Oryzias latipes: one gene and its partners. The protein of the gene in region 1 purifies or fractionates together with the protein of each later gene. This does not show direct contact. Links are inferred from orthologs where the notes say so. Each region holds a gene or a part of one and is shown in the gene's direction. Other genes may lie near its edges.

Region 1 (3,752 bases):
ATCATCATTCCACTAGGGGCAGCAGAATGGCTTTTACTGTATTGCTTATTGCAAAATGGCCGCCTCTGTGACATATCCATAACACGTTTGGCAGGGAAGTTTAGCAAATGTTTATGGTGAAAATAACCCATCTATTGTTATTCATTTTCAAACGCTGGCGAGGCTCGCCTCCCTGGAAGCTTTTTCTCCGCCCTTACAGTCATCGCTCTGACCGTACTCTCTGTTACAACTGAGTCCTGCAGTCAGACATGACGCGAAGCGCTCCAGAGCCTCACCCGGAGTTTCTGCTCCCTATGTGAGCGCACAACAGTCAAATTCTGCAAATTTAACCTCAGAAACTGTGGGAAATGTGTCGAGTCAACTGAAAATGTGTCTTTAATACGGATCAGAGGAAAATCATATTTACTTAGTGTACGTTTTTCTATTTTATCACATTGACCAGTGAGGCCGAGCTTCACTTGCCTCATCTGATCACATGTCACTGTTGAAGTTGACATTTTTTGTACCACCTCTATGCTTTATTGTAAACTTAAGATGTTCCAAATAAGTCTGACGAAGGATACAGTTAGCATACTTCCTACACTACTAGGCCTATAGTAGATTTGCTCAATGCATATACAAGTATCTTACTAAAATAAACTTCAAGTGTACTATGGTACTTTTAACTAAAGGTTTTCTAGAGTTCCACGTCTCTCTTTTTAAGTCAAAACAGAAAAAAATAAAAATAAATTATTGACCTGTGTTTTATCTTTCGTCTTATGATATGACATGCTTATCTTTTAAATTAATTTTCAATTATGTTTTTACAAAATGTAGGCTACTTCGGTACAATCAGCGATTGTTGTAAAGCGACTTACAAATAAAGTTTTTGGAATGTTTGCCACGTGACCCGTTGGGTTTTGTTGACTGTCGTGTTTATTACTGTTTATCTATAATGTGTTGTGTTTATTTTGTTGTAAACTACACATCAAACGCATTTCCGTTGATTCACCTGTTCTTTAGCTTGCACTTCACTGTTCTGTGATCAAAAATTACCTGTAGGATAAATACATAACTTAAGGAAAAGCCTCGATTCCTCGGTGCTTGATTAATCAGGCCTGCCTGAATTGCGCATGCTCGACTTTTGACAACATGTCTTTTCCGGCGCGTGGGGCGTTTGTTCTGCTGCAGTAACCAAACCAACGACGTCCTACGGTTAGGTTGAATCAGTTAAGGTTAGTTTAGCGCGGATAGTCTGTTTGTGTTAACCGGAGAAAGATGGCTGCCGACGGAGTGAAACTCTCCAAGAATCTGCTGCGCATGAAGGTACATGCTAGCACCATTAGCTAGCTGCGGCGCGAGCCGCTAGCGTCGATTCATTTTGTTGGCTCCAGAGTGAGAGAAATGGACCAGAACTGATGTTCGTGTCCATAATTCTGCCTCTTGTTCTTCATCCTTCGGCAGGGGCCTGTCTTATCTCCATTCAAGGATCTTTCTGGTTGAATTTGTCAGAGCTGGGCATAGTTTGGGGCTTGACTGTTTTGGTTGGTCTGCTTTCGACTGAAAGGTGGTCATAACTAGTTAATAGGTTAAGAATGACGAACCACAGGTGGGTTAGATTTAGTTTGGTGCTCGGTTTCACATAGTTGCATTGTAAACCTTTAAGACACGTGATCACCTGGGTGGACTGACTCTCGTGAGGTATACTGTACTGCAGATGAGAGCGTGCACGTAGGCGTATGCATGAAAGTGTCATCTGTGGCTGCAGTTCATGCAGAGAGGGCTGGATGCAGAGACGAAGAAGCAGCTGGAGGAAGACGAGAGGAGGATCATCAGCGACGAGCATTGGTATCTGGACCTGCCCGAGCTCTGCACCAAAGAGTACGTGTCTGTGCTCGTGCACGCCTCGCCTGCAGTGGTGTGAACACCTGTAGGTGTGGATGATGGTGACCTCTGCTCCTTCATCAGGACTGTGCTGGTGGAGGAGGAGAGCTTCACTCCCTGTGAGGACTTGCAGTTTGGCCGGATCTCCTTCAGAGGCTTTAACCCAGAGGTTGAGGTGAGGTTCAACCTACAACCGTGTGCGTGCGCACGTGCGTGTGCATGCGCACGTGCGTGTGCATGTGTGCTCTGACCTGTCAGTTGTCCTCACAGAAACTGATGACCTTGTTGAATCCAAAAGATGAAGATGAAGAGGAGAAGGATGTGAGCTGCATGCAGACAGACATCACAGATGAGGAGATGGCTCTGAGGTACACTTCCTCTTCCTCCTGTCCTCCTCAGATGTTATTTGATAGGGTTGCTCTTTGCTCAACAGATCGGTTCCAGTTCTGGATCCAGAGCCTGACTGGTGCCAGGACTGGAACCGGGTCTAAAACGTCGACCCGCTTCATGTCGATCATATAAGCTTTGGGGGCGTGGCTACACAGCCGCAGGAAGAGAATGGAATCTGCTCTGTAGTGGTCTAAACTCTACTCCATCCTCGGGTAGTTAAGCTGATGATAAAGAACTCATTTGGCTCAATCCATCAAACACTTCATTTGTGGAGCGTCTTTCTTCAACGTGCTTAGAACACAAGGTGTTTGACATAAAAAACAAACAGGTTGAAATTATAAAAAGTCATAAAACCAGCAACAATCAAGAGGTGAACATAAGATGGTAGAAAACTGTGGCTACTAGTTATTGTTGAGAAGGCGCTCTATAAAGAGAGTAATAAAAGTACAAACGATTAACAATATAAGCCATGAAATACTTTAGACCCAAATAAATAATTGAATTAAATGAAGACGTTTTTGAGAATTTACATGAACATTTACAGTGAAACTCTCCACAGATGCAGAAACTCTCAGATCTTCAGGTTCCACAGATGAGGACCACGGTACTGAAATGAGGCCTCAATGTGGGTCCTGGTCCTCAGTTTTTCGTTTAGATAAGAGAGCAGAACCTGAGGATCTGAGAGTTGTGGAGGTTTTGGAAGGACCTAGATCTGATAAATAGGAAGGTCCCAATCCAAAAAGACATTTATAAACTAGAAGGAGAATCTTCAAATCATCCAGAGGCTGACAGGAAGCCAGGAGGGATGTGAGCTCTGAATTCTGGACGAGCTGGAATCTATTCATAGATTAAAAGAGCATCACAAAAGTCCCGTCTAGATATGATAAAAGGCAACATTGTTAAAGGAATACAAGCAGTCTTAGTTGTGTTTGATATGTGGATTTTAAAGTTAAGATCTTCCTACATTTATACCAGAGTTTTGAAGTGAGTGTGGCTTCAGGCCCAAGGATCAGTTTCTGTTTGGTCCTTGTTGAGTTTGAGAAAATTAGCTGTCGTCCATTCTATGACATCACTAATATATTTAAGAGGTTTGTCAATGGGATGTAGGCCACACTGGGAGAAGCTGTGGAAGTCTACATCCTAACGTCATGAAGTGTAGCTTAGTGACGTTACCCAGTGGGAGCCTCTACAAGTGAACCCTTTAACACTGGAGATGTTGCCAGTCACATCTAAATAACAGATTCTTTCAACTACCGTTACTCTTCAACCGTTTACGGCTTTTCACTGATATGCCAAACATTTTGCAAAGTGTTGAATATTCTGTTGATTTCTAAAATAGTTATTTTTACATTACAATTAAGTAATTCATCTTTGTCATGTGCTTTACTGATATTTCAAGATTCTTAATTCTGTCTGATAAAAGCTAGAAACCGGATATTGATAAATCATGTAATAAAATGGTTATGGTATAACGGGGTGGGATTATGTAAGTTCGCTTT
Region 2 (3,752 bases), on another chromosome or scaffold:
AACAAATATTTTTAAAAAATTCTGTAGGATGAACATAGCTCTGCTGGCTGTGCGTAATAACCCCACGTGATGTGGCCTACTCAAAGAGTATTGACGTGTAACAGTCGTCAGCTGTCAGCGTCACGATAGATGGACAGGTATTTGCCGACACACCTGGGGAAACCGAAACACGCTTCGGCTTGTCGTAAAGTTTGACCATCAGGTCGTAAAGAGACAAACTTAAAACAAAATCATCAAAAGACCCCTACACAGAGTCACTATTTTAATAAAGATCGTACAGTGACTGCATAAACTAAAGAAACTAAATGAACCTCCCCTGATTGTGTTCGTGCAGGGACAGCTGGAGCAGCGCGTGCGTTCACTTCACTTCACGACTTACCCGGCTGAACCAGATGCTGATCTGGGTTTCTGACACCAGGGCGAAGTAAAACCTCTGAGAGCTGGGCTGGATCTGGAAAGGCTCCTCTTCGCTCCTCAGCGGACAAAGCAACCTCCGGGGCCAACCGGTTAGAAAATACATGACGGCGCTCTTTAGTTCGAGCAGGCAGCGCAGCAATCCAGATCCTCGGTAGTTGCCTCTACGGGCGACTCATAGTGCTTTCGTCGAGACAAAAACACTACTAAAGAGCCCGGTGATGGCGCTGGGCAGGTTTAATCCACAGATTCCATACAGAAATACCAAAGCAGCCGACTGAGCTCCACGGCTAGCCCCGGGCTAGCATTGGATTTTCAAACTTAAAGCTAGCGAGCGGTGCGCGGTGTCCCCGAAAACAAAAGCGGCGAGGCCCGTCGCGACACCGTGCAACGCTAAATTGTGCCCGCTGTACCAGTATGCTGGCCAATCCGCTTTGCTCCCCGAGCTTTGTCAGTTGTTACGCTGTCTGGACCAGTGGTGTTCATTAAGAGATAAGCGTCCAGTTTTTACTCCACTGAGCCTCACTGTCGCCATCTTTACAAAGAGTCTATCCATCTTAACGCTGATTGGTCAGCCGCACGAAATTTGCTTAATGTTGACATCCAACGTCACCACTCTGTTATGTGACAATGGCTGCTGCGTGACACGAGGGTGACACCTAGTGGTCAAGTGAGAAGACATCCAGAAAGAATGTATTGTCATGGAGTTTCATTAATTTCTTTAATGAAAAAAAGAAAGAATAGAAATATGGAGTCCCATACTGTTCATAATTAAATAAATAAATATTTAATTAAATAAATAAATATGACCTCATGCAAATAGCAATGTGAGCAACATGATAAAGTTACAGTATACGAAAAAAGAAACAGAACTCAGCTGATTTCTTTTTATCGAAGACCAAATGTGACATTAATGGACAATAATTTGGTGCCAAACTGCATGAAAAAGAACGGAATTTTTTTCTAATTTGGAATAAAAAATAAATATTTGTGAGGATGGATATTATTTCAAGATGTGCTGCACAAGATACACTGTAGTAGTAACTCCATACCACAAGGAGGTGCTAATGTAGCTATAACACGCTTTTAAGACGCCAAAGAAGCAAGTGGAGGAAAGTTTTGTGTTAGCATAATATGCTGTTTGGTTGGCATTTATTACAAGTTTATAGGGTAATCATTTGTTAATTTAAAAACAAAAACAAAGATTCAATAACTACGTACACCATTTTTTTTTGCATTTTTAAACTTAAATCTGACTTAAACGAGTGTGAAAGAAGCCATAACCAGAAGAGTTGCGGTAACAGCATGGCTCTTGATATGAGATTACCGACTGTGAGGAAAACGGTGTCTCTGTCAGCTTCCGCTTTCGACCGAAAGGATCTCGTTGTTCCCGGAGACATCATCACTTCGGACACAGGTTTTATGAGGTAGGTTCTGCTTGCGTTTTGGAACACGTGTTTGATACCACGCTGATGTAGTACGGTAAGCTACATGCTAAAAAGAAACTCAGAACACACCAGAACTTATTTAGATGTGTCTTTGATCTGATGGAATACTGATGAAGGATAAGAAATTACATCTTTACATGATTTTAATAAACCATAACTACAATTTGTCGTTTTCTAGGGGGCATGGCACTTATGTTGATGAAGAAAAGCTGACAGCTTCAGTTGCTGGAGAGGTGCAGAGGGTGGACAAACTCATCTGTGTCAGACCACTGAAGACCAGGTGAGTGTGAAGGACAAAAATCTTCAATGTTTATGAACAATAGAATTGGTTGGTGGATTGACCCATTCAGATCGGACTAGCCCCACTTTTGCAAACATTCTTTAAGATCATTTGTGCGTCATTTTAGATTTAATGGCGAGGTTGGAGACGTTGTGGTCGGCAGAATTACAGAGGTGAGTTATTCCAACTGTTCTCTAAAAAGGCAAAACGAGATAACAATTTTTTTTGTTGTTGGATTCATTGTATCTGTTTTTGCTAATAATCTTTTCAATCTGTTTGATTTGATGGTTATATACAGGTGCAGCAGAAACGTTGGAAGGTGGAAACCAATTCCAGACTGGACTCTGTCCTCTTGCTGTCATCAGTAAACTTGCCTGGAGGAGAGCTGGTGAGACAGAACTGTGTTGTTTAACGAGAGAGAAGCGTTACAGGATGAGTTGAACTGCATGCTCTTTTTTGTTGTTGTTTTGTTATACAGAGGAGGAGATCAGCAGAAGATGAGCTGACCATGAGAGAATATCTTCAGGAGGGTGATCTCATAAGTGTACAGAGGATTTTCTAGTCTTTTTGCCAACATTTCCCCCTCATAGTTTTTGTCACTAAAGACTACTTTGCTGTATTTTCTCACTGTTTTTAGGCAGAAGTGCAGTCTGTTTTTTCAGATGGAGCCTTGTCATTACATACTCGCAGTTTAAAATATGGAAAAGTAAGTGCACAGTGTTACTATGTTGATATCTCCTTTTGGTAAATTTTACAGAGCTGTTTCCCTGTTGTTGTTATACATGTTGAATAAATTTGTGTTTCTGGCCATGTTCACACTGCAGGCTGAATCCAATTTTTCTGCCCCTATGCGACCTGTGTCTGATCTTTTTATGACAGTCTGAGCGACACAGATCAGATCTTTTCAAATGCGACCTCCGTCTGAATGGCCAAGCCACATGTATCCGACCCGTAAGTCATTATTCTGCGTTGAAGTAGGCGGGAACAAGAACATGAACATCAACCATGCCGGACGATGCTGGTGAGACCAGTCATTGGAAGGCAAGCAAGGTCACCGATTGGATTAAAATTTGGGGTGACAGCTCTATTCAGGCCAAACTCGAGGGCTCTTATCGCAACCGGGCGGTTTTTTGAAAAAAATTCCAGCGAAATGGCCGAGCGTGGGGTTGAACCTTCCTGGCAATTACTTTTTTTTCCCCTTTCTGACCGTGGTCAGAAGCGCGGGGGACCGAAGGCGGATCCTCCTTTGGGCGTTCATTTCCCCGTTCGGACCCTCAGATTCTCTAGAGCAGTTTAATAAAGAGTCAATAGCAGCCTTTTTTTATTATCGTTGTCCTTCCTCCGTAACACACAACATGAATGCGCACAGCGCAGTAGGGAATGCTGCGCTGCACGTGCTCTCTCCTCTCTCTTACACACACACACACGTGCTCGCGCGGCCCCAGCACATACACATCCCCATTCCACCACAGTGGGTACAGACGATCCTGGCTCCAATGCCTTCTTAAAATGAGAAGATTGTAATTGTGCTGGCTCCATCTTGAAAATAAATGTAAACTGCAAAAAGAGCTCCGCTGTTGACAACACTGTAGTTGACATCCATTGCTAAC
Region 3 (3,752 bases), on another chromosome or scaffold:
GCAATTTTTCTTCCATTTAAAATCATTTTATTTTTTTTACAAGTACTTCCAAAAAACACCCAAATAATCATATTTCTGACAATACATACTACAATACAATGCAATCAAACCACAATTTACAGATCTGAAAATTAATGATATTCCCCTAAAAGATGAAAAAAAAATGCACCAATAAATTAGTAACTCTAACCTTTAAACAAATAACTTTCTGCAACTTTAGTATAAACAATAGACGGGACTTAGAAACCACCCTAATGAACACATTTTTTTCTTTATACACAAAGTACCCACTTCCACCTAAAATGAAAGAAACGCATTTTAAAATAATATCTCAAATTTACCCTGTTGGAGATTTTTTTACATAAAAGATTCAAATTTCAATCGGAGCCATGCCTATTCTGTTAATCTGAAACTGAAACGTTAGAACATCTCTGTTACAGTTACAGATAAAAATATTTTGGACTGATATTCACAATTGGTTGTCACTCAAAGTTTTAAATATTCCCTTTTTTCCTTATCTGTTGTTATTTTCTATATGGAAAATATGGACCCAGGAATTTCTGATGTCATTAATGTTGTTATTATTTAATGCAAAAATTTCATTCATTTATGTAAATGGAAAACTACATGCCCTTTGTTTGGTATTTTTTGAATTACTTTTCTGATTATTATAAGTGTCTTAAATGCATTCCAAACAAAAACAAGAAAACTACAGTAATTTATCAAAATATATCAAACGTACTGTTATTTTGAATTGTTTTTTGCCTTGCCTTTATCATATTTTTTAAATTTTGTTTTGTTTTTTCAATATGCGCATTTATAACGATTGTTCACCCTAACTTGTTTTGTATATGTGCATTTATAAATATAAAAAAATCTGAATATAATTAAATAGAAATATATTTTAAAACTGTCTATATACTCTTTATGATATGGACAAACATAGCACAAGCATCTACATTCCTACACAGAAGAAAAAAAAGATTACTCTCAAAAATGTATTATTATTGTCATTATTTTATTATTATTATTGTTTTTGTATTATTATTATTATTATTATTATTATTATTATTATTATTATTATTATTATTATTATTATTATTATTATTAAATTTTGTGATGTTGAACAGCAGCTCCCACTTCTTCCAGGTGGTGGCGACATAGTTCCTTCATCGAGAAAACTGTAGAAGAAGAGCCTCCCGGCACCGTTTCTTCTTCTTCTGTTTGTTGAGTTAACATGGCAACAGTTAAAGTTAGCGAGGCTGAAAAGGTGTACATTCTACACGGAATAAGAGTGAGTTGTTCTAGAAATGTGTGCTCTATTAAGCTAAATGTCTGTGAAGTTGTCACACCAACCTAAAGATGTGGATGTTTGTATTCTCCTCAGGATGATTTACGTGTGGATGGAAGAAGCTGTGAGGACTACCGACACATGGAAGTGGAGACGGATGTGGTCTCAAACACTGATGGATCTGCCAGAGTCTCCCTGGTAAAATCAACATTTACGTGTGAAAGATCCGCAGAAACAGTGTCTTTATTTTCCTTCCATCGTGCTTCTCAGGGACACACCGCCGTCCTGGTTGGGATTAAAGCAGAAATAGGAAAACCAAGACCACTGGTTCCAGATGAAGGATACCTGGAGTTCTTTGTTGATTGGTAGGTTTAGTGTGCATTTAAAGCAGGTTTGGACATCAAAATGTGCACAATTTGACATTTGACAGAATTGTATTGCATCAAAACAGTAAAGAAAAACATTGAATAGCCTCTATAGTTTATTAAAATGAATAATGTTTGCATTTTTGGCTTGATATAAATATTAGAAATACCTGAACCCTAAACCGTTACATATTTGATTTCTTTTTGGCTAAGTTGGGAAGTCTCTCTTGATGTTTTTGTTGAGATCATTACATGTTCTAAAGCTTATAATGCATGTTTAAATATTTTTTGTGTTTGTTTTTGAAGTTTGAAGGATGTCTTTGTCCTGCGAAGCATTTTAAAGTAATGAGGATGTTTTAAAAATAAAGTTTATTTTGGATATCTGTTTTTGTTTAAATCATCTTGCAGGATAATAAACTCCTAAACTAATAACTGCTGGGATTAACTGTTGCACCATTGACTCAGTTTTCCCCACTTCTCTCCGCTTTCTTCTGATTCTGTAACTCCTCATTCCGATTGGCTGAACTCACCTGATCCAGGTATTCAGCTTTAAGACGTAGAGGGTGTTCATGAGGACCATGCCGGGCTGTTCTGGTTTAAGAATCGGAACCAAACTGAGTTATTGTCAATGTTTGATGTTTTTTTTTGATTCCCTGACATTTTTTTCCCCAACACCCCCAGCTCTGCCAACGCCACCCCCGAGTTTGAAGGCAGAGGAGGTGAGGAGCTAGGGATCGAGCTGAGCAACACTCTCTACAGAGTCTTCAACAACAAGAACAGCATAGACCTGAAGGGCCTCTGCATCAGTGCTGGGGAGCACTGCTGGGTTCTCTATGTAGATGTCCTGGTGAGTCTCTTTAACATAAAAATATAAACACAACATAAAAATGTTAAAAATAAAACAATAAACACAACAACAATAGACGTAAATTCAGTAATAATGCTAAATCTTATGATTTTTAAGTTTTTTAGAATTTTGGGTAAAAAATTGGGTTAAAAAAACAGGTTGAAGTAGACATTTACATGTTTTTTGTTTGTTTAGGAAAAACTTGTTGCTGCATTTAGATTTTTTTTTTAAATAAAGTTAAGCAAGTGTTTTGTTTACCTTGTATGCATTAAAAATGAAATGCTGAAGTATGTCTGCTGTGCTGCTGAGGGGTAGCAGATGGGGTCAAATCAGGTTAAAATTAAGAAAAAATAAGGTTGTAAACTTGAAAAAAGAAAAAGAAGAATGTTTTGAAATGGTGTTAAACTTGAAATTATACATTCTAAACTTGAAGAAATACAGAAAATTGGATACAAAGATTGTAGATTTAAAACTTAAACTAAAAAAACTATAAACTTACAAATGTTACCAAATAAAAAATGATCTTCATTTGTAGCAGCTGCCGTTTTATATAGTGAAGTTTTGGTTTTTTCGTTTGTTTAACTAACAAAAACATACCAGTTTCTAATAAACATTAATTTTATTTCATTTTCACTGTAGGTTTATAGTTTTTTTATTCTAGTTTCATAATTATATGCTGTTGTTTTTTTTTCTTTCTAATTTTAAGCGTCATTTCTTCATAGTTGGGTAAAATAATTAAGAGACACTGATGTAACTCCATAGTAGCACTTCAACTTGTGAAAGTATCAAGAAATATGTATTTTATTTTATTTTTTGTTCCTTAAACCCCAAATAGTCATACCGGCCTGCAGTGGATGCAGTTTGTTTTTCATGGAGGAGGTTTGTCGGACTCAAGAAACACTAAATGAGTTGAAAGGCAGCTGATGTGTAATGAGGAAGTGAGGTCTACTTAGTCAGTCAGCCAGTTAGAAGAAATGCGGCCTGAGAAGGGGCGGAGCTTCACCTCAAAGGCCTCAAATGATTTGTAAAAACCACCACTTCATAAAGGCGTTTGCATCGTCTTGTTTGCAGCTGCTGCAGTGTGACGGCAACCTGTACGACGCCATCTCTGTCGCCATCAAAGCGGCACTCTTCAACACAAAGTGTGTATCAGTTTTTCACATTTCGTCGTGTTTGGAGACGTTTTCAGCTCATCCTGTGCTCCCATCATTTCTCCCCCAGAATCCCTAGAGTCCACATGTCGTCGGAC

The links.
Region 2: the proteins of mphosph6 (region 1) and exosc2 purify together in Homo sapiens (affinity purification with mass spectrometry; 8 studies listed by BioGRID and IntAct, with this or other methods). This does not show direct contact. The link is inferred for Oryzias latipes from reciprocal best matches to the Homo sapiens genes MPHOSPH6 and EXOSC2.
Region 3: the proteins of mphosph6 (region 1) and exosc7 purify together in Homo sapiens (affinity purification with mass spectrometry; 4 studies listed by BioGRID and IntAct, counting the BioPlex papers as one, with this or other methods). This does not show direct contact. The link is inferred for Oryzias latipes from reciprocal best matches to the Homo sapiens genes MPHOSPH6 and EXOSC7.

The regions. Positions count from the first base shown.
Region 1 is NC_019864.2:5,685,381-5,689,132, forward strand, and holds the start of mphosph6 (M-phase phosphoprotein 6), read left to right. Parts: upstream 1-1,072; 5' UTR 1,073-1,257; coding exon 1,258-1,305; intron 1,306-1,346; exon of another isoform or gene 1,347-1,588; intron 1,589-1,696; exon of another isoform or gene 1,697-1,747; coding exon 1,748-1,860; intron 1,861-1,947; coding exon 1,948-2,038; intron 2,039-2,133; coding exon 2,134-2,231; intron 2,232-3,752. UniProt on the Homo sapiens protein: RNA-binding protein that associates with the RNA exosome complex. Involved in the 3'-processing of the 7S pre-RNA to the mature 5.8S rRNA and play a role in recruiting the RNA exosome complex to pre-rRNA; this function may include C1D.
Region 2 is NC_019870.2:12,830,584-12,834,335, reverse strand, and holds the start of exosc2 (exosome complex component RRP4), read left to right. Parts: upstream 1-1,480; 5' UTR 1,481-1,719; coding exon 1,720-1,841; intron 1,842-2,040; coding exon 2,041-2,142; intron 2,143-2,269; coding exon 2,270-2,315; intron 2,316-2,440; coding exon 2,441-2,530; intron 2,531-2,620; coding exon 2,621-2,686; intron 2,687-2,779; coding exon 2,780-2,848; intron 2,849-3,752. Other genes in the region: ric1 (RAB6A-GEF complex partner protein 1), read right to left, coding at 380-520. UniProt on the Homo sapiens protein: Non-catalytic component of the RNA exosome complex which has 3'->5' exoribonuclease activity and participates in a multitude of cellular RNA processing and degradation events.
Region 3 is NC_019869.2:5,728,091-5,731,842, reverse strand, and holds the start of exosc7 (exosome complex component RRP42), read left to right. Parts: upstream 1-1,155; 5' UTR 1,156-1,237; coding exon 1,238-1,294; intron 1,295-1,387; coding exon 1,388-1,489; intron 1,490-1,561; coding exon 1,562-1,656; intron 1,657-2,337; coding exon 2,338-2,503; intron 2,504-3,574; coding exon 3,575-3,645; intron 3,646-3,724; coding exon 3,725-3,752. UniProt on the Homo sapiens protein: Non-catalytic component of the RNA exosome complex which has 3'->5' exoribonuclease activity and participates in a multitude of cellular RNA processing and degradation events.